Linked DNA regions of Drosophila melanogaster. The protein of the gene in region 1 purifies or fractionates together with the protein of each later gene. This does not show direct contact. Each region holds a gene or a part of one and is shown on either strand. Other genes may lie near its edges.

Evidence for each region.
Region 2: the proteins of Dera (region 1) and psidin purify together in Drosophila melanogaster (affinity purification with mass spectrometry, with the first as the bait; one large-scale study listed by BioGRID). This does not show direct contact.
Region 3: the proteins of Dera (region 1) and CG7675 purify together in Drosophila melanogaster (affinity purification with mass spectrometry, with the first as the bait; one large-scale study listed by BioGRID). This does not show direct contact.
Region 4: the proteins of Dera (region 1) and CG15084 purify together in Drosophila melanogaster (affinity purification with mass spectrometry, with the first as the bait; one large-scale study listed by BioGRID). This does not show direct contact.

The regions. Positions count from the first base shown.
Region 1 is NT_033778.4:12,423,740-12,427,483, reverse strand, and holds Dera (Deoxyribose-phosphate aldolase), read right to left. Parts: upstream 2,002-3,744; 5' UTR 1,774-2,001; coding exon 1,722-1,773; intron 1,669-1,721; coding exon 1,085-1,668; intron 1,023-1,084; coding exon 615-1,022; 3' UTR 509-614; downstream 1-508. Other genes in the region: CG13154 (uncharacterized protein), read left to right, coding at 1-506; CG8520 (uncharacterized protein), read right to left, coding at 2,233-2,355, 2,410-2,661, 2,716-3,318, 3,376-3,744.
Region 2 is NT_033777.3:20,020,046-20,026,993, forward strand, and holds psidin (phagocyte signaling impaired), read left to right. Parts: upstream 1-1,658; 5' UTR 1,659-2,008; coding exon 2,009-2,069; intron 2,070-2,158; coding exon 2,159-2,383; intron 2,384-3,311; coding exon 3,312-3,804; intron 3,805-3,869; coding exon 3,870-4,269; intron 4,270-4,334; coding exon 4,335-5,618; intron 5,619-5,681; coding exon 5,682-5,880; intron 5,881-5,940; coding exon 5,941-6,125; 3' UTR 6,126-6,437; downstream 6,438-6,948. Other genes in the region: PIG-L (phosphatidylinositol glycan anchor biosynthesis class L), read right to left, coding at 303-837; CG4424 (uncharacterized protein), read right to left, coding at 6,582-6,720, 6,786-6,896.
Region 3 is NT_033777.3:18,377,614-18,383,037, reverse strand, and holds CG7675 (uncharacterized protein), read left to right. Parts: upstream 1-1,859; 5' UTR 1,860-2,006; intron 2,007-2,301; exon of another isoform or gene 2,302-2,419; intron 2,420-2,683; 5' UTR 2,684-2,684; coding exon 2,685-2,825; intron 2,826-3,673; coding exon 3,674-3,812; intron 3,813-4,070; coding exon 4,071-4,801; 3' UTR 4,802-4,914; downstream 4,915-5,424. Other genes in the region: CG14309 (uncharacterized protein), read left to right, coding at 1-1,089.
Region 4 is NT_033778.4:18,849,319-18,852,463, forward strand, and holds CG15084 (uncharacterized protein), read left to right. Parts: upstream 1-1,525; 5' UTR 1,526-1,617; coding exon 1,618-2,568; 3' UTR 2,569-2,638; downstream 2,639-3,145. Other genes in the region: MetRS (Methionyl-tRNA synthetase), read right to left, coding at 1-782, 861-982, 1,070-1,172; CG18190 (uncharacterized protein), read right to left, coding at 2,639-3,145.

The DNA.
Region 1 (3,744 bases):
AGGAGCAAGTGCAGCCGCAGCAGCGAATGCTGCCGCCAACGGAGCAGCCGTATAACTTCTATTTACCTCTATACGACTTCGTGGAGCCCAAGCTGGATGCCAAGAGCCGAATGCTGGAGAAGATTGCTCCTCCGCCGCAAAAGACGGAGCACAACTACTACGCGGAAAAGCCAAAAAAGAAGCCAAAGAAGTTTAACGCTGCCAACAAGCACATCAACCTCAATCTCAAGTGGCTTAACACCTACGAGAGGGCCATGGGCGGAGCAACTGCGCCCAAAGCCATGTATCTGGAGCAGGACGAGCGCAACCGAATAAACTTCGACGACTCCTTCTTTGCGGTGGACATGCAGGTAAAGATTCCGGATAATCAGCCCCACAAGGAGCCAGCTGCGCCCACAGAGCTCTTGCAGCATGGCGAAGAGCAGGCCGAGGAAGATTTGATGGCGGCTCCTGCGCAGTTAGCCTTTAACTTCAAGTCTCCCGTCCAGGAAGAACGTCGAACATAGATGCGGTTTTTTTTGCTATAGGTTTTAGTCAGTTGTATAAAAAAGCTACAATAAATGCACTTAGAGTGAGTAAAGTCCAGAATACGGATTCGACCAGTTGGCCTCCTCCTACTTCTTCCGCAGCTCCTTGCAGAAGGTCTCGGCAGCAGCAGCCTCGCGAGACACGGGCACATTTTTCTGAGCCTCATCCTCCTCGAGTTTTTTGACACCCTGACGCACAACGCGTTCAATGTCGTCCAGCAATCCGGAGGCTCCGAAACGGAACCTCTCGGGACGCAACCAGCGGATGCCAAGAGTTTCGTTGACCAACGTCATCCAGGCGATCGCATCTCGTACAGTCTTTACTCCTCCGGCTGGCTTAAGGCCCACAATCTGGCACGTGCGTCGTTTGAATTCCTGAATGGCAAATATCATGACCAGGCCAACGGGCAGGGTGGCGTTGACTGTCTCCTTTCCCGTTGAGGTCTTGATAAAATCCGCTCCGGCCATCATGCAAACCATGGCTGCTTTGTAAACCTAAAGAAATTAATGGATTTGAATGGTATTTTAGTATAGGGATTAGGCGATATTGATCTCACATTATCCATGGTGCCCAGCTCCCCGATGGCCAGAATTGTTTTTAGGTGAGCCCTTTGTCCACAGGCACTGCGCATAAGGACCACCTCGTTGTACATGGCCTCCCAGTCGCCAACGAGGGCCAACTGGCGATTGATCACAATGTCGATCTCTGTGGCTCCAGCAAGAATGGCGTGGCTGATCTCCTGCAGGCGGGTCTGCAGGCCGTACTGGCCCGTGGGAAATCCCGTGGCCACCGCTGCAATAGCCACCTTATCCAGTTTGTCGTACTGTTGGATAGCTAAATAGGCGTCCTTTACCCTGGCGGGATAAACGCAAACGGCGGCCGTGTGCATCTCTGGGATGAGAGCCCGGTCGAAGAACTTGTCAAAGAACTGCGGCTCGAAGGGATAGCAGGCGCGTAGGCATAGTCTCCGCACATTGGCAGCCGTATCATCGCCCGCCAAGGTGGTAAGATCTGTCAGCATCAGAGCCCTCAGCGCCCAGGCGATTTCGTTGGCTCCGGTGACATGGCATCGCTGGGACACCGTCAAAGCGATCTCCTCGACCTGCCGCAGCGAGATGTTTACCTTAAGCAGGGAGGGATCTGCGAAATATATATGTATATATTTAAATTCGTACTATTGTGCGAATTCTTACCATAGGGCAGGGTTTTGTTTACTTCCAATTCCTTCACATCCATGCTGCTCATTGCTGTCAAACGAAAATTTAGCTGACTAAATTCCACTTGAAGATAAAATCGTTCGATCGCCGATCTTGACCTCTAATCTTCTACTCAACCTCAACCGAAGAACATGGAGAGTCTTATCAATTTGCTTGTTGGACAGCTGATGACGACGTTGCCAGACCGTTCGCATTAACTGATAATTTATGAGATGGATTCCGTTAAAAGATCACCGATATTAACAATAAGTAAATTTGTTATGTAAAACTCCACAGCTTGCTGTTTAATAAAGCCAATCGCTTAGGTAACTTTGTCTATTTTTTATTGTCTTAATACTTGCGAAATACACCTAATTTTAATATTGCATTTTCGATATGAAATTTGTAAGTACAAGATATTGTGAATTTTAAAATACCGCGTCAGCGAGGTAGAAAACATGTAATTTTTATAGCGCTAATTGAACTACTGCTTTGTGACAAGGGGTTTTCATCGATGTTTGGCCCACTGCTCCCAGTACTCCCTCTTCTGCATTTCATAGAGTCGAGATAGTGTGCGATCAAAGGCGAACAGCTCTTCCTCGCCGGTGAAAAAACTGGCTTTGGATTCTTTCTGTAAACAAAAACGTGTTGATTTTAATGGTAGAAGAATGAGTTACTAACTTACTATATTTAGATCGTCCATTAGGGTTCGCTCAGAATCGGACAGAGTTTTGGAACCTCCAGTAAAGCTGAACAAGTTTTCCAGCGCAACGTCGGATGATATCACCACACGCACTCGGTTATTGTAAAGGGTATCTATGAGCGTGATAAATCGTCGCATCTGTGCCTTCACATCAAGGGTCAGCTGGGGCACATCTCGGATGAGGACGGTGTGAAAGAATTGCGATATCTGTAAGAAATCACTGCCAGCCAAAGGCTAATGCGGAATATGTTGAGTATGGGTAAGATTATGTATTAATACTTTGCTTACGCGATCACAGAGTTCCGAGAAGGTGCTGTCCAGTACCTGGCCACACGTGCGATTGAAGGTCAGATCTCTTCCGAAATGAGTCAGGGTTCGCGGCCGGATAATATCGTTTTCTTCGGCGCACAGGATCTTGAACATGCGATTCATACTGCCGTCCGCATCCGTTTGGCCTTTGACGAAGTAGTTGGTGTCACCAGATTGGGCTATACGTCGGTAGTCAATAGAATCCAACTGGGACACCTTACAGCGACGCTGAAGTAACGCAATGAAGGGCAGAAAGTTCGTGCGCTGCAGTCCGTTCTTGTACAGATCCTCTGGATGCCGATTGCTGGTGGCCACAACCACAATGCCATGGCGGAAAAGGTGCGTAAACAATCTCTTTAGCACCATGGCGTCGGCTATGTCCGTCACCTGAAATTCATCGAAGCAAATCAACCAGGACTCACTGGCAATCAGGTCAGCAACCGGTTTTGTGGGATCAAATGGTGCTGGTTTTTCAGAATTAAAGGCACGGTCAACAGGTCCTTGTCTCTGCTTGGCCTCGTGGATGCGGGTGTGCACGGTGTTCATGAACGAAGTAAAATGGACGCGCTGCTTTCGATGAATCTGAAAGTCACAAGTCATGTGAATATGGGCCTCGAGAAATACTCATTCATCACTTACTTGGGTACAGCAGTCGAAGAACAGGTCCATCAGAGTGGTCTTGCCCACACCCACGCTGCCGTACAGGTACAGACCCTGAGGAGCGTGACTGCCAGCGTTAGGATCATCCTGATCGTCATCTTCGGTGGAAGATTTCCTACCAAAGATTGAACTGAAGAATCCTCCGCCGCCACCGCCCGCCCTGTAGCTGGGTTTATACCCCTGAATCTTGTGGTACAGCGCATCCAGCTCCTTCATCGTCTGCAGCTGCCTGTTGTCGGTCATCAGTTGGCCAGAACTAACACGCTTCTCATATTCCTTCAGCGGACTGAGACCGCTCATGTGGCAGGCGGGCGCCCATAGGAGCAGCGGCTTCTGCCGCGCACAGCG
Region 2 (6,948 bases), on another chromosome or scaffold:
GTATTATTTTTTATTATCTATAAAAAGATAACATCGGTGTAGCCCCTGAATCTTTGCAATAATTAAAATAATAACAGTAGAATGGGCAGGAATATATAACATTTAAAGATTATTAAAAATTCCAATACGGACTACATATATTGCACGAAATCGATTGTTGGCTAACACAAAGAGAATGCTGTGCCCATATGGCAGCAATAAAGCTAAGTCAGATTCGCTACTGATTTCGAAATGTGTACTTTCGTTTAATGCTTCCAGATCTATTGGTGGTTTGGGGATGATGTCACTGCTGGTGGTCTCACCGTTGGACAAGCAGAGTATATACACCTGGCAGCCTTGGCGCTGCGTCAGCGAGTAGATCAGCGGTCCGAAGAACATGCACTCGTCATCCGGATGGGCGGTGATCAGCAGGACGCGCTCCATGCACGCCGTTTTGGGCAGCCGGACGCTACGCAGCCGTATTCCGGACTGAAGGGCCTGCTTCAGGCCGCCAGGACTCCGATTGCCATCCGAACTTGGGTTCAGCTCTGCCCCCTCGCCCGACCCGGCATTGCTGGTGTCGTTGCCGTTGTGGTGGGCGTCCAGTCCCGATCCCGATCCGGCTCCCGAGAGCCAGAAGGTGAGCTTGTAGAGGCCCAGGCATACTAGCAAGTACACCGCACAGGCGATCAGTACGTGCTCCAGTGCTTCGGCGGATGATGACCTGATACGGCAGTAGATGGCCTGAGGATTGGGGACGAGCTGCTGCACCTGCTGCTGCAGTTGGCGCCACGGGGATGTCGATGCAATGCTGCTTGATATGCTGGCCACGTACTCGCTCAGCCAGTTAAATCTCATCGCTCATTGCGTCCGGCCAAGGGCAAGATTTTTGGCGAGAAATTCTTCACCAAAAATGGACATGCAGCGCAATTTGGCAGCGAGGAAAAGCGGAAAAGCGGCGATAACGGTGCTCGGGCGGTTACTTAAACTATTTCACTAAGTGGATGTGTTTCTTAATCGGTAGTTTAATACTTCAAAACGTTTGGTTACGAGCCCGCGCGCCGCCTAATCGGCTAATCTCTGCATTTTATTCGAAAACTTTACGCGTTTTCGACTTTCGGGGGCAGCAGCTAGAGATGGGCAACTGGCGTGGTGCGTGGCAGGTGCGTGACTCACGCTGACTCATTCACGATTTCTAATCAACCTGTCCGGTGCGCCGTGCAACTACAAAGCTTAAATTATCTAATTGGCACTCGAATAAATTGATAAACTCTTTTCTGCCATTCATCGTTCGCTGGCAAGCTACCATTCGTGAGAATATATCAGTCCATCTCTATCGCTCAGCTGTTGGACAAAGTGCCCAGCGGTAGGGGTACTCTTGTCACTGTTTTTATAAAATCTTAAGTTTTTTTTGAAAACTTAATCTGAAATATAAAGAATTACAGTTATGAACATTTCTACTTTTTGAAGAATATCAATACTTTGTTGATCATAGATAATAACAAAATTACTAAAAACTACTATTAGAAATTCACTTTTGTACAAGACATATTCTAACCTTAAAATTCTAAGCAGAATGATTGAATGGAATTTTAAAAGTTTCCCAATAAGAGTATCTTGATGGCTTAAATTTGTGATTTGAGCGAAGACCCCTAATGTCGGCATGCTCTTCTCGAAAAATACCAGAAAATACTGGAGAAAATACAGGGGCCGCTCTCTTCTCACCGAATATGCAGTCTGAGGTTTTTTTTATTTTGAATAAAATTTAAAGTCACTAGTTTCTATGAAAATAAGCACATAATTAGCCTACGACCGTGTGATTCGAGTGCCCGAGAGCCAGCCGCCCGTCCCCGACCGCCCAAACACCGAGGGCAACCCAAGGAGAGCCCCCAAACGATTGCAGGAAATTAATCAACGGCAGACGACAGCGTGCCGCAAAACCCAAAAGAGAGCGAGTCTCAGTTCGAGGTGCATGCAGCACGTTGTAATTAGGTTAGCAGCATACAGCAGCACCACATAACACGATAACATGGCACAGCAGCAGGGCATGGACTCGGCCCTGTTCGAGCGGCGACTGCGGCCGGTATACGGTGAGTGTGTTGTCCGTGTCCACGGCGGAATGAGGCGCTCCATGTGCCGGGTCCACAGTCTCACAGACTAACATCCCAATCCTTTGCAGACAACCTGGAGGTGGGCAACAATCGCAAGGCTCTGCAGGAATCCGAGAAGTTGCTACGCAAACATCCCAACCTGCTCTGCGCGCGGGCATTGAAAGGCCTCTCGCTCCTGCGACTGGGACGCTATGACGAAAGCCACGGATGCCTCCAGACCGTTGCCGAGGAGAAGCCCACGGACGACTCCACGCTGCAGGTGCTGTCCTTCTGCTACCGCGAAATGGAACAACGTACGTATGGGTAAACCACCGGCAGGGCTGATGTACTGAGCCCACGTGGAGCCACCGTTTGCTGGGGATTAGGTTCAGTCAAATGCAAGATTGATAACGTACTAAGCATGGTCTAGGAGGTACATTACCTCAAGTAGAAGTTATTTAGGAGTATGATATAACCAACTAGCCATAAACTCTTAAAGCACGAACCTAGTCTCTCGTTCTAACGCGATGAAGAAGGGCACCAGCCATCAGAAATAACTAATTTGTTCACAAGTAGCTCCTGATAGGCTATAAATTATTAGTTTCATTTATGAATTTGACTTGTGAAGCACACTTTTAAGTTATGAAGAACCTTTTGTAAGTTAATATCCAATTTTAAATCTAAAAACGAAATGCCTGTGTGAGGCAAGGACTCATTGTATGTATAGATAATAATTAAGGATTTAGATTTCTCCTTTCAAATGTGTAAAGGTTACAGGCATTCTAGAATTGAAATTTTATAAAAAGAATAGCTTCCTTATCCATGAGTTAAATGCTTGTATATGTATGTATATGTATATACAAAATATTTTAAAGTATAGATTTAAAGATAATATTAATATTTACTTAAGTTATTTAAATACGAAACCATGGTCGATCAAAGGATACAATTTGTTGAGCTTTTTTAAATTCGATTGACGAATACAAAGCAACATTTTTAAGTAAGAATGTTTCTTAGCCACATCTGTGAATCCCCTAGAGACGCCCCTGCTACGCACACGAAGTGGCCACAATTCATATTTTCGTATTTTCTTGGCACGCGCACCTCGCCCGACTAATTAAAATCGCATTCTCTTAGTCGGACGACGAGTGGCAAGTGCGTGCCAACGATCTGAATATATAGATACCTGTACCTGCGAAAGTTGAAATCGCTAATAATATATAAATATCGGCCTCTTTGCAGTGGACAAAATTGTGGAGCTGTACCAGCACGCTGTGAAGCAGAATCCGGGCAACGAGGAGCTCCTCGCCCACCTCTTCATCTCACATGTGAGGGTGGAGGACTACAAGGCGCAGCAGGCGGTGGCCCTGCAGCTGTACAAGGCGCAGCCGAAAAATGCCTACTACTTTTGGTCGGTGATCAGCGTAGTCTTCCAGGGAATCCGTGGACCGGAATCGGCGCTGCCCGAGAAGCGGAAAATCTACTTGGGACTGGCGCAACGCATGGTCGACAAGCACATCAAGGAGGGCAAAATGGAGACGGAACAGGAGGCCTTCCTCTATCTGCACATACTTAAGCTACAAAACAAGTACCAGGAGGCGTGGGAATTCCTTACTGGTGAGCTGTGCGCGAAGCTGTACCCCGGTGCTCCAGTCAGCATGAAGTTCGAGCTGCTCAAGGAGCTGGGAAACTGGCGGGAATTGAATGAGCTGCTGCAGCAGCTGCTGGACGCAGAGTGAGCTTAAACAATAAGTTCATATGTATAACTACGTTTTCTAAGTTTTATTTTTTATCCCCAAGTCGTGATCGTTGGGACTTCTACAAGGAGTATATCCAAAGCTCGTTCGAGCTGCTAAAACTTACGCCGCAGGGCGTGGAGAACGGGGATAAGGACTCTCTGGCCAGGTGTCAGGAGTTCCTTCAGCGCATCATTGACTCCTCGGAGCGCAAGAAAAGGGGACCCTATCTGGCGCGGTTGGAGCTACACCAACGCATGCGAGCGGAGCAATTGCCGGCGGAAAAACTAATCGGTGACTTTGACGAGATGGTCATTGAGTACTTCCGTCTGTTCGGCGACAAATCGTGCTGCACTCACGATATCGCCTTGTTCTTGCCTTCGATCAGCATGAACCAGAGGCAAGCGCTAGCCAGCAAGTTGTTGTTGGAGAGCGGAGTAACCTCCACGTCGCTTCCAAAAAATGTAAGTACGCAAAAATTATAAATTCAACTTTGAGTCTAACGATTGTTGGTATATGATTATTGTAGAAAGAGCAGTTGCAAAAACATCTTTGCGCTCTGCAAATCTCTCGAATGTGCGGATCCCACATGGATCTGCCTGCGGACCACCTGCTTGCCTTCTATACGGCGCTCAAGCTGCACTACGAGCACGGCAGGACTACTTTCGGTAAGAAGTTGCTGGCTACGGAAATGGGACCATCGGATGCATACGCACTGCTGGCGGCAAATGTAATGTACGATCTGAGTAGGCGGGAAAATAAGTCGGATCACCTGTTCGAGGCGCTGTGCCTGCTGCAGTATGTTCTGCGAAACAGTACGAGTAACTTCCACGTGAAACTGCTAAGTCTAAAGATCTACCATCTGTTTGGCTGCCAAGTGGGCGCACAGGAGATGTATGAGTATCTGGACATTAAGCAGATTCAGCTGGACTCCATGGGCTATGTGCACTGCCAACTGTTGGCTCTTGGAGGTCGCTTCTCGGGCAATCGTAACGTGTACGATGCCACCCTAAAGTTTTTTACGAACAGCTATAAGGAAAGGCTGGAATACATTGCGTTAACATATCGCTTTTGCACGTTTTCAAAAATGGAGGAGTTCATGAACTTCAAGGAGCGGTTAACCAACAGCTTGCAGTACGTGGCCTGCTCGGTGGAGGCGCAGATCTGTGACTTGGTTAGTTGCTATGGCAATATCACGCAGAATCTATCCGCATATGTGGCGATGAGTATTGAGCCGGCGGAGGACCGGATCGCTTGGCATGAGTTGAGCGACAATCGCGACTTAGGGGCCATTATCCGATGGGATCCGCTACATGAGGTAGACGCTGCGGAGGAGCGCAGGGAGTCGTTCGACCAGGAAGTTGAGGTGCTTCAAGTACGTTCGCTGATGCTTCGACTCTTTGCCTCTTTCATCGACTTGTACCACGGCGCGGGCTTAAAGGATTCGCCAGCGGGAGCAGAGACGGCCACCTTGGAGCTCCTGCGGGAGTCCTGGACGGGATTATTCCAGAGATTGCGCGTGATGAACTACAAGCCGTTGGCGCAAAAATTTCTAGTCAATCTGCTGCCCACACGTCTTCACCTGCTGCTCGACATGCCATACGAACGTTTCTTTGACGACCTTGCCCAGTTGGTCCTTGACTTGCAGAGCGGGTCGGCAAAGCTGGCCGAGCAGTGCAAGCGGGTGGGTGACAATGTTATTGCGACTATGGAGCTGTGCGTGCAGACCATCAACGAGAGCAACGAAAGCAACGGCATTGACGGTCTGTGGAAGCGGCGAGGTCAGCAGCAGAAAGTGGCAGCCAGTTTAGAGGTAAAATGTTGGTAGTAAAAGCAGGTAATCTTAAATTCACCAATGTTCTTATAACTTTTCCAGATGCTATCGCTGTACGCCTTCCTTCTGTCCGTGTTGAACGACAAGCTGCAGGTAAGCTCAAAGACCAAGACCAAGAAGAAGCCGGTGGAAAACAAGGTGGATGGACCGCAGCCGATCAGCGAGAAGGAGCGCAGCCAGATGTTGCAGGAGCTGATGCGACAGCTGAAGCACAAGTTTGAGGCCTGCGACACGGCCATACGTAAGTGGCTCTAGACAAATCGCCCAAAGATAAACTAAGGTATGATTCTGCAATCCTTAGGCTCCTGGAAGGCGCCCGTTTTGCCACGCGACCTCAGCTCCTTTATGTCTGACATGTCGCTGAAGCCGGAGGTGGAAGCCACGCTCATCGGCGACGTTTCGGCCACCTTTAAGGACTCGCACGAGCTGATGGTCACCGAGCTGCGCAATCTGCTGAAGGACAAGATACGCATGGTGGCCAAGTAGATGCTTCTTTGCTGTGCAAAGGCCATCAGCCAGCCAGTCCGGTCATCGTTGCCCCCACACAATCCAAGTTCATAGTTTGTTATTTAATTTTGTTAACGGATACAACCGACCTCATAATCCTCCTACACTACAATTATCTCGAACACCAGCGCCAAGTCAGCACTTATCAATCACTTTTCGGCATTTCCCTCGTACAACACATAAAAGTTGTAAAATTTTGTAAAACAAAAATTAGAAAAGAACAAAACAAAGAAAAAAGATTGCGTACCGCTTTGCAAGTAAGTCAAGTAAAAGAATAAATTGTAAAAATGTAAACAGTTTGTTTTTTTTTTTAGAATGCTTTTTAGTTAGTTTCATGAAATCTTTCTAGCAAACTTTATATAACAAAGGTCGTATATACAAAGTTTTAGGCTTTAAGCAAAGGTAAAATGTCGCGATCTTATAAATATTATATTATTAAGCATTAGCTACAGTAATCCCCACTTTAAAGGTACTTAGATAGGCAGTCAGTCGTGGATCATTTATATGCTGTTGCGTTTGCAGATGCGCCACGAGATTGTGAATGCGAGCGAAGCTTTTGTTGCAGAGTTGGCATCTGAAGTAATAATAGCAACGTGATAAGTTTTAGGTTTGATTTAGTTTAAAACCGAAACCACTTACATGTGGGGTTTTTCGCCCGTGTGCGTCTTGTAGTGCATTTTAAGGACACTGGCATATGTGAACTTCTTTCCGCAGGTCTTGCAGGCATAAGGACGCTCATTTCGATGGGTTCTGTGGAGGAAATACAATTAATTAGCTAGTCTCTACTTGTAGTTAATTAATA
Region 3 (5,424 bases), on another chromosome or scaffold:
ATACCCACTTACACACGGCTTCCAGAGGGTGATGTCCACCTGAAGCACATTGAGACTGTGGATGGGGAGGTGGAAAACGAAGAGGAACTTGAGCGGGAGGTACCCAAAAAGCGCAGGACCAAGTCCAAGAGTCAGCTAAAGATCATTCAAAGGGAGGACAAAGAGGATGAACAGGAGCAGGAACCGGAGCAAACAGAAGGGCGTCCCAAGTTGCGTCTACTGCCCACGGAATTCTTTGAGGCCCTACCAGCTCCCAAGCAGAACAAGCGATTAAATCTGGGAGCCACCTTGAACTCACTGCTATTTCCGGAACCCTTCTCCAGCAAGGCCACCATGGCCAAGGCTAGTCTGTCCCAAAAACCCAAGTCTGTTGAAGAGTCCGAGCCCGAGGAGGATGTGCAACCGGTGCCAAGTGCTAGAAGGCGTCACTCCAGGCTAGGTCACGTGGCCAACGACTTTTTGCAGGCCCAAAAAGAGCTTGGAAAGCATTTCCTCAGCCACATCAACGAGCATGAACACGAGTTTTCTCTAGGAGATGAGGGCATGCGGGAAAGTTCCCTGGAGTCGGCGAATGTCGGTAGGAAGTCCCTCATACAGGATCATTTTGAGGGAAAGAAGGCAACGCCTACTCTTCATTCGAAATTGCCTCAAAAGCCAGCCGATGAGGGTATCACTTCCTGGTGGGATTTACCAGCTATGAGAAGGCGGCGTGCCGTACTTAACACTAATTCCCTGGCTGAACTGCCCTCCAATGCCATAGACAAGGCAGATCGCGATGAGATGATGCCGCTGGGAAGGTACACCTACTACGAGTACAAGATGGATCACGAGGCAGAGAAGGATGCCAGCCAGCCCAGGGAGGAAAAGGAATCCAAGATCATGAGGATCAGCAGCAAGAATTCGCTGGCCTCTGGTCGTAGTCTGACTAAACTCTCCGAAAGCCTCGTGAGCACTATGAAATCAAAGGTATCTCGCTTCATCAACATCATATCCAACCATATGAACGAATGGTACAACACCTTAACCAAGCACTTGGAAACGGATGCGGAAACCCAACCACCCCGCCGACAAAACAGCATTGAGAAGTAGAATGACTTATATTACCATATGACCTTGTTTAAACTGCCAGCATTATAACCGAATGTAAATATATATTTATTTTCAAACATTACTGCATTCAAAGGAATTATATTTGAGCGATAATTCTAAGGGAATTATATTTTTCAAATAAAGCTATATACAGGACTAAGGCAACGAACTAGACGGGCTTAGACTAAGCTTGTGGTAGATTGTTGAGCATTCTTTATTGTACTTGTGAATATGTCATCTCTATAATAAAATGCATTGAATTGAAAAGAATGTTGATATATTTCAGTGGTATCTCGGTTAATGATATATGAAATGAAAAATAAAATAGATTTTTATCTGACATGTTTATACAATTACCCGTAGTACTTCAAATAGTAATAAAGTCTTGGTCATTAAAAAAGTTAATTACTATCCATTATTATTTTCTACATTATTTCAAGCTCATCATTCGAGCTGCATAACTAGAAAAGAAGCTTTGCGAAGCCCCCGACAGGTGGCTTTCTAGACACACTTTCTTGGAATCCACTACCCAGATCTTTCTCTTACCGCTGGTAACTATGTATTATAGTTTGGCTCCACTCTGTGCTCGCTCTTTCGCTGCGAGTGAACCGTTCATGAAGACGATCCCAAAGAGGAGCCCGGAAAGCCGCTTGGCTAACCTGTTACCATGGCTATAAGTGCAATAACAAAATCACCGCGACCACGGCAATACCAAACCGGTGGAGACGATCGCGCATTCTCCGCAGCCTCGGCTTTATAATCGGAATTCCGACTTCAGTCTCCGATTAGTCGTTCAAGGCGAAGGTTGTGGCACTAGCTCTTGGATCCACCAATTCCATTTCGCAGCGCAGATATAGTCCAAAGTGCAGGTCAGCAGAAGTTGGAATAAATTATAGATCAGCCAACAGCCAAAACAGGTGAGTTTGCACTAAAAAACTCGTCTCCGACTGGCAAAAGTTGAGGAACAAAACCCAAAAACGGGTCACTTCTAGACTTTTTCATACATCTATAGATCTTGTTTCTTTTCGAGACTGCATTGTAGGGCGTGGTTCGGTTGGGGGGGTTCTTAAATGGTGCATGCAAGCGTAACCAGAGCCAGTCTTCGAGTCTTGAGGAAAGCTCTTGGAAATCTTTGTGACGTGGACGGTGGGGGAAAAAAAAAACAAACAGAGAAGAAAAAACCAGAAACTCAAAACGACATGAAACTTCAGACTTTCTTTCTTGTTCAACCTTCTTTCGTTTGGGCTGTCAATGAACTTGGTTGAATGTTATTTTTTTCGGCGTTTCATCATAATAAGCCATAATTACGCACATGTGTGAAAGTGAAAGTGTAAGTTTTCTCAACAGTTTTCGAAATTGATTTATTGACAGTCACTGATAAACGATTTGAATTGTGAAAACCTTCGCCGACTAACCAATATCCCCAAAACCATGAAACCCCAAAACCCAAAACCAAACTCGTTTCGTTATGCCCTAAGACAATCGTCTGGCTTTGGCAGCTTCGGTTATTATATAATCTGATTTGCATGTTGACACCGATATATACGTATATGAAGATACAATATATAGTATACACACCTCGGCATATTTGTAGGATGGGTTTCATCTTCGGTTGGCTGTCGACCGAGCACTATGTGCGCGACATCTTCCTCATGACTTCAGTGGCCGCCATAGTGGCCACCCTGATGAGCATTCGGTTCTATCTGCGCATCACGGCGGGACGATGTTTCACCGAGGTAACGAACGCACCTCACCCAATCCAAAAAACCAAGTCCCATGCTCCCCAGAATCGCGACACGACTCGAATATTTCGCACTTTATATGGCTGTTGCTCCCACTTCCGCTGCGAATTCTTTTCAGATCTTGTAGATGAGCTGTCATATACATACAAATGATGGTGGGATAGTTTACTAAAACAGTATTCGGACACGACCTTAAGCTTATTAATCGCTCAAAACTTTTACAAATTTTATATATTCATATAAATGCGAACTATTCAGATAAACATTACAGATCCATAATTGAAAATGGTTCAGCTTACCGCTCTATAGAAAACTACATATATCACTATCTGGAAAAACCCCATATAATTAAAACGATTCTGTAGCATTCCAAGCATTCCGACTATGGAAATCTTTTAACTATATATGAAATCACCACTAGGAAAACTTAACGTGTTTCAATCTTGTTATTACATTGGTCAGTTGTGACGCGTCGACTTAATTACAGATTAAATTAGATACCTTCTGAGAGGCGAGGTACGTCACATCTCTGAGCTACGATTACCACCTGACCGAACATTGTTCGTATCCCACAAAACATCTAAGCTTCTGGGTATCTCGGTTACAATCTGTGAGATCGCTTACCTCTGATTCACAGAAAGCTCTCAGCACTCGAATGGCAATTAAGCGACCCGTTAATGGGTCTGAAAACTAAGATAGCTTCCGTTCCAGACGAACTGCGATTACTGTGACTGTGAACAAGCGCCAACTAATTAGTATTGTAAACATATTTTCGAACCGCCCTCGTCCAATTTTCGATTGCAGCGCCGTATTAAATGATTAACCTTCGACATTGATTACAGACAAAGATGGAGGGCAAGACAGTCATTATCACAGGCGCCAACAGCGGAATTGGCAAGGAGACGGCCAAGGATCTGGCTGGACGTGGAGCCCGCATCATCATGGCCTGCAGGAACCTGGAGACTGCCAATGCAGTGAAGGGTAAGTGGACCAAGACAATGCCTATGAGGTTATGCCAAGGATCTGGCAGGACATGCAACACGGTCAAATTCCGATAACTGGTCTCATCCAGTTGATTATAGACTCTGGCAAAAACTGCTTACTACCAATGATCTTTTTTTATTAAATATTTACGTTGTAATTACTTTAAAGAAAGTATCTTATAATATGTTGGCGTTGCATTAACCATGTTTTTTTTTACATAACCGAATTTTGTAATTTATTGTTGATTTCCCACAGATGAGATCGTCAAGGAGACGAAGAACAACAAGATCCTAGTCAAGAAACTGGATCTGGGCTCCCAGAAGTCCGTCCGTGAGTTCGCCGCTGACATTGTGAAGACCGAGCCCAAGATCGATGTGCTTATCCACAATGCCGGCATGGCTCTGGCCTTCCGCGGACAGACGAGTGAGGATGGCGTGGAGCTGACCATGGCCACCAATCACTATGGACCCTTCCTGCTGACGCATCTGCTCATCGATGTACTAAAGAAGAGCGCGCCGGCTCGCATAGTCATCGTAGCCTCGGAGCTGTACCGCCTGTCGTCGGTTAACCTGGCCAAGCTCAATCCCATCGGCACTTTCCCGGCTGCCTACTTATACTATGTGTCCAAGTTTGCGAACATCTACTTTGCCCGGGAGCTGGCCAAGCGGCTGGAGGGCACCAAGGTTACAGTGAATTTCCTGCATCCCGGCATGATCGACTCGGGCATTTGGCGTAACGTTCCCTTCCCCCTCAACTTGCCCATGATGGCCATCACCAAGGGATTCTTCAAGACCACCAAGGCCGGCGCCCAGACCACTATCTATTTGGCCACATCCAATGAGGTGGCCAATGTGTCTGGAAAGTACTTCATGGACTGCAAGGAGGCCACCCTTAATGCTGCTGCCCTCGATGAGGAGAAGGGTCTCAAGATCTGGGAGGAGTCCGTGAAGATTGTCAAGCTTACGCCCCAGGATCCCAAAATCTAGACGGGTGTCTGCGGCTGAGAGCCAACGCACAATTTACTGATTTACTTTTCTTGTTTTTAAGGGGGAGTTTACTGTAGCCTAAGTTTTCTCAATAAAAATGATTTTGTATAATTAAATGTGGCTCGTTTTCAATATGATATATTTGCTGTCAGAAAAAAAAGCACATCAAATTTCTGACTATATATAATATATTACAAAGATCTTGGTTGTTATATCGGTTGCTCGTGAGTAAAAGGGTATACTAGAATCAAGACTAGAATATAGTCTGGATCAAGATCAATAGCCGAGTCGATCTGGCCATGTTCCTCTGTCCGTCTGAATGTCGAGATCTCAGGAACTTTAAAAGCTAGAAGGTTGTGATGCAGCATACAGATTCTAGATACATAGACACAGCGCATTCACACTAACTGAGCAACGGGTATCTGTTAGTCGGGGAACTCGACTTCTTATTGGCACAGGATTTCGGCTTGGATTTGCAAGGGGACCGTTTTTGTATTACATGTAATATATATTGACAGTCACTCGATAAATCTTTTGCTAGGTAACTAGATATGACAATTCTGACAAGTTTTGAACTTTTCAACTTATTGCTTCTCGTTATTTATTTTGTAGCTGCAGCTTCT
Region 4 (3,145 bases), 6.4 Mb from region 1:
CAGCGGTAAATGGCGTTGTGCAGTTCGAAGTACTTGTCGCAGATCTCACGGGGAGTAAGGTTCTCTGCCAGTGCCTTGTTCTCGGTGGCCGTACCGTACTCATCCGTGCCGCAAATCAAGAGTGTGTTGTAGCCAGCAGAACGCGAGTAACGAGCATAGATATCCGCAGAGAGAACACAACCAATGATGTTGCCCAAATGTGGCACATTGTTGACATAGGGAAGCGCCGAGGTGATGAGCACGTTACGCTCACCGGGCTTGGGAAGAACAGTTCGCTCCTCCTTGATTTCCTTTGGAGCTGTGTAGGTAAAGGCAGCCTTCGCCGCGCTTATTTCCTCATTCGTAACAGTATCCGCCACCGTTGGCGTGGTATCCACAAGAAGTTTGCTTGCATCCGCCAGGCTGAGACGTTTTAATGGTACATGATGCAAACCTCCATAGCGATTTGACTGCTGCAGAGCATTAAAGCTTAGATCCTTTAGTGGCTGTTCGGCAAGAACTTCCTGAACTTCGGGAAGCGCTTTCACCCTGCCATACCAATCCCTCAAGTTGTCCACGTTCTGTGCTCCCTTGAGAGTGCCATCGGGAGCAAGGAGCGACCAAATGGCGATGTCGGCGGCACTGGGTTTGTCGCCAGCCAGGTAGGGGGTAGCTTTCAGTTTGTCATCCAGCTTCTTGACCAGAGCATTCAGCACGGGCAGCGCGTTTGCATCTGCCTTGTGGCCCACAGCCATGTGGTGGGCCAAAGCCGGGGCCAGCAACGTGGCAGACCATTCCAGCCACTAGGGAGAGAGCACATACGGGAATTAGTTTAACCTTCAGGGGTCAATGGGCCAATAAGTAATTTTCGGAACCCATACCTCATCGCGCTGCTGCCCCTTGCCCACGAAAAGGTACTTGGCAATGGCCGCCGGCGAGAACAAACGCAATCCGTTGTCCAGCTCCAAAGTGGGCAGCACCAGCAAGTCCTTGTACTTAGCGTCTGCAATTAACAATAGTTATTGCATCAGAAATGAGTCATTTTCAGAGCATTCCCCAGAATTCGAAGGGAATCCGTGGCAGAACTCACCATTTAGGTTAACCAACTGCACCTGCACCGGCTGCTTGGCAAATTTGGCGAGCATTAGCAGCTGCAGTCCCAGCGGGTTGCCATCATTCGTGTAGATTATCATTTTGCCTGGATCGGACGCTAATTCTAATTCAATTTACGTGGCAAAAAGGGTTAAAAATCCAACCAAAGTTTTGACGATGCCCACGAGAAACTATTATTTTGGTGATGGGACAGATGGAAAAGCTGTCACGCCGTCGGTGATGTTATCGATTACTTATTTATTTTATATGTCAAATAATTTGAAATAAACAGTTGGCATTAAAGTAACAGGTAATATAGTAGGTCATATTTATTACATATTAATTGTAATATGACTAATAATAACAAGACTAATTCATATATGATTTTCTGGCTATTTTTAGCGTTTTCCGCACCACCGATAATGTCATCACCAGCGACCCGAAACAGCTGATTTAAAAAAAGCAGAAATGTTTATTTACATTTGACAGCAAAAGATTGAGCTTGTAATTAGTTTAAATATTTAAGTAATCCTATCCACTTAAAAAATGGGTGAACGCAAGGGACAGAACAAGTACTATCCGCCCGACTATGATCCGAAGAAGGGCGGTCTCAACAAGTTCCAGGGAACCCACGCCCTGCGGGAACGGGCCCGCAAGATTCACCTGGGAATCATCATCATCCGCTTTGAGATGCCCTACAATATCTGGTGTGATGGATGCAAGAACCACATCGGCATGGGCGTGCGCTACAATGCGGAGAAGACCAAGGTGGGCATGTACTACACTACGCCGGTTTTTAAGTTCCGGATGAAGTGCCACTTGTGCGACAACCACTTTGAGATCCAGACGGATCCCGGCAATTTGGACTATGTTATACTTTCGGGGGCTAGACGGCAGGAGAACCGCTGGGATCCCTTGCAGAACGAACAAGTTGTACCGGAAACCAAGGAGGTACAAAAGCGTCTCTTCGACGATGCCATGTACAAGTTGGAGCATCAAGCCAAGGATGCTAAGGCAGGGGCAGATGCCAGGCCCGTGCTCCAGAAACTAGTGGAGCGCAACATGAGCGTCTGGGATGACAGCTATATGGCCAATAGTCGCCTACGCGCCGAGTTTCGCCAGCAGAAGAAAGAGATCAATGGTCAGCAGGAGCTGGATCGACAGTTGTTGGCCAAGAGCAGCTTGGACATTGCTCTCCTTCCGGAGACCACACAAGATCGCGAAATGGCAGCCCTGATGAAGTTGCAGACGAAGTCAGCTCTGGAACGGGAATCCGAGCAGCGGTTGGAGCTGCTTATGCGTCCAGCGCTTCCCGGAGCAACAGTCACCACATTTGGTGGACTCAAGCGACAAAAGGTTCTGAATACCCAGCTCCAAGTACAGGATCTTGGCATACGGCGTAAAAAGTTGGAAGAAACTACATCTTCAGCCACGAACGAAAAACCCATAAGCTTAGTGGGGGATTACTCCTCCTCAGACAATGATTCCAACGGCTGATTTTATAATGCTTTCTTTATAAATAATTAAATGATTGTATAAAACAAAATAAGTACAAATAAAAAGAATTCTAATATAATCCGTCATTGGGATCCGCGTGTTCGGCGCCTTCATCACCATTATCCTCATTAACCTCGACGGGTTCCTCGTTGATTTCACCATCTATCGTTTTGTAGAGCACCGCTTGAATGCGTTTGCACAACTCAACTAGCTGGTTGTTGTTGATCATGTCGTTGACCAAATCCTCGACCAGGCGCAGTTTGTTGTAGATCTGATTGCTGGCCTCCATGATGTCCTCCCGCTTCAGGCTTAGGTTCTTCATTTCATCAATCAGCTCTTTGAGCGCATCATCATTGGCGTTGACTGGTGATCGCTCCTTGGCGAATTGGCGCGGCTTTATGGGCTTTGCCAACGGCGCATTGGCCAGCGACTTAATGTTCTCCAAGCCCGGAGCCTGCGAGTCGAAGAACTTCTTGAACCACTGCAGGAACTCAAAGTTGTCCTGGAAGCGACCCTTGATCAGTCGATCGATTGGTACCGTTTTGTCCAGCTTCAAGCGATTGAAGGCTTCCTGGAA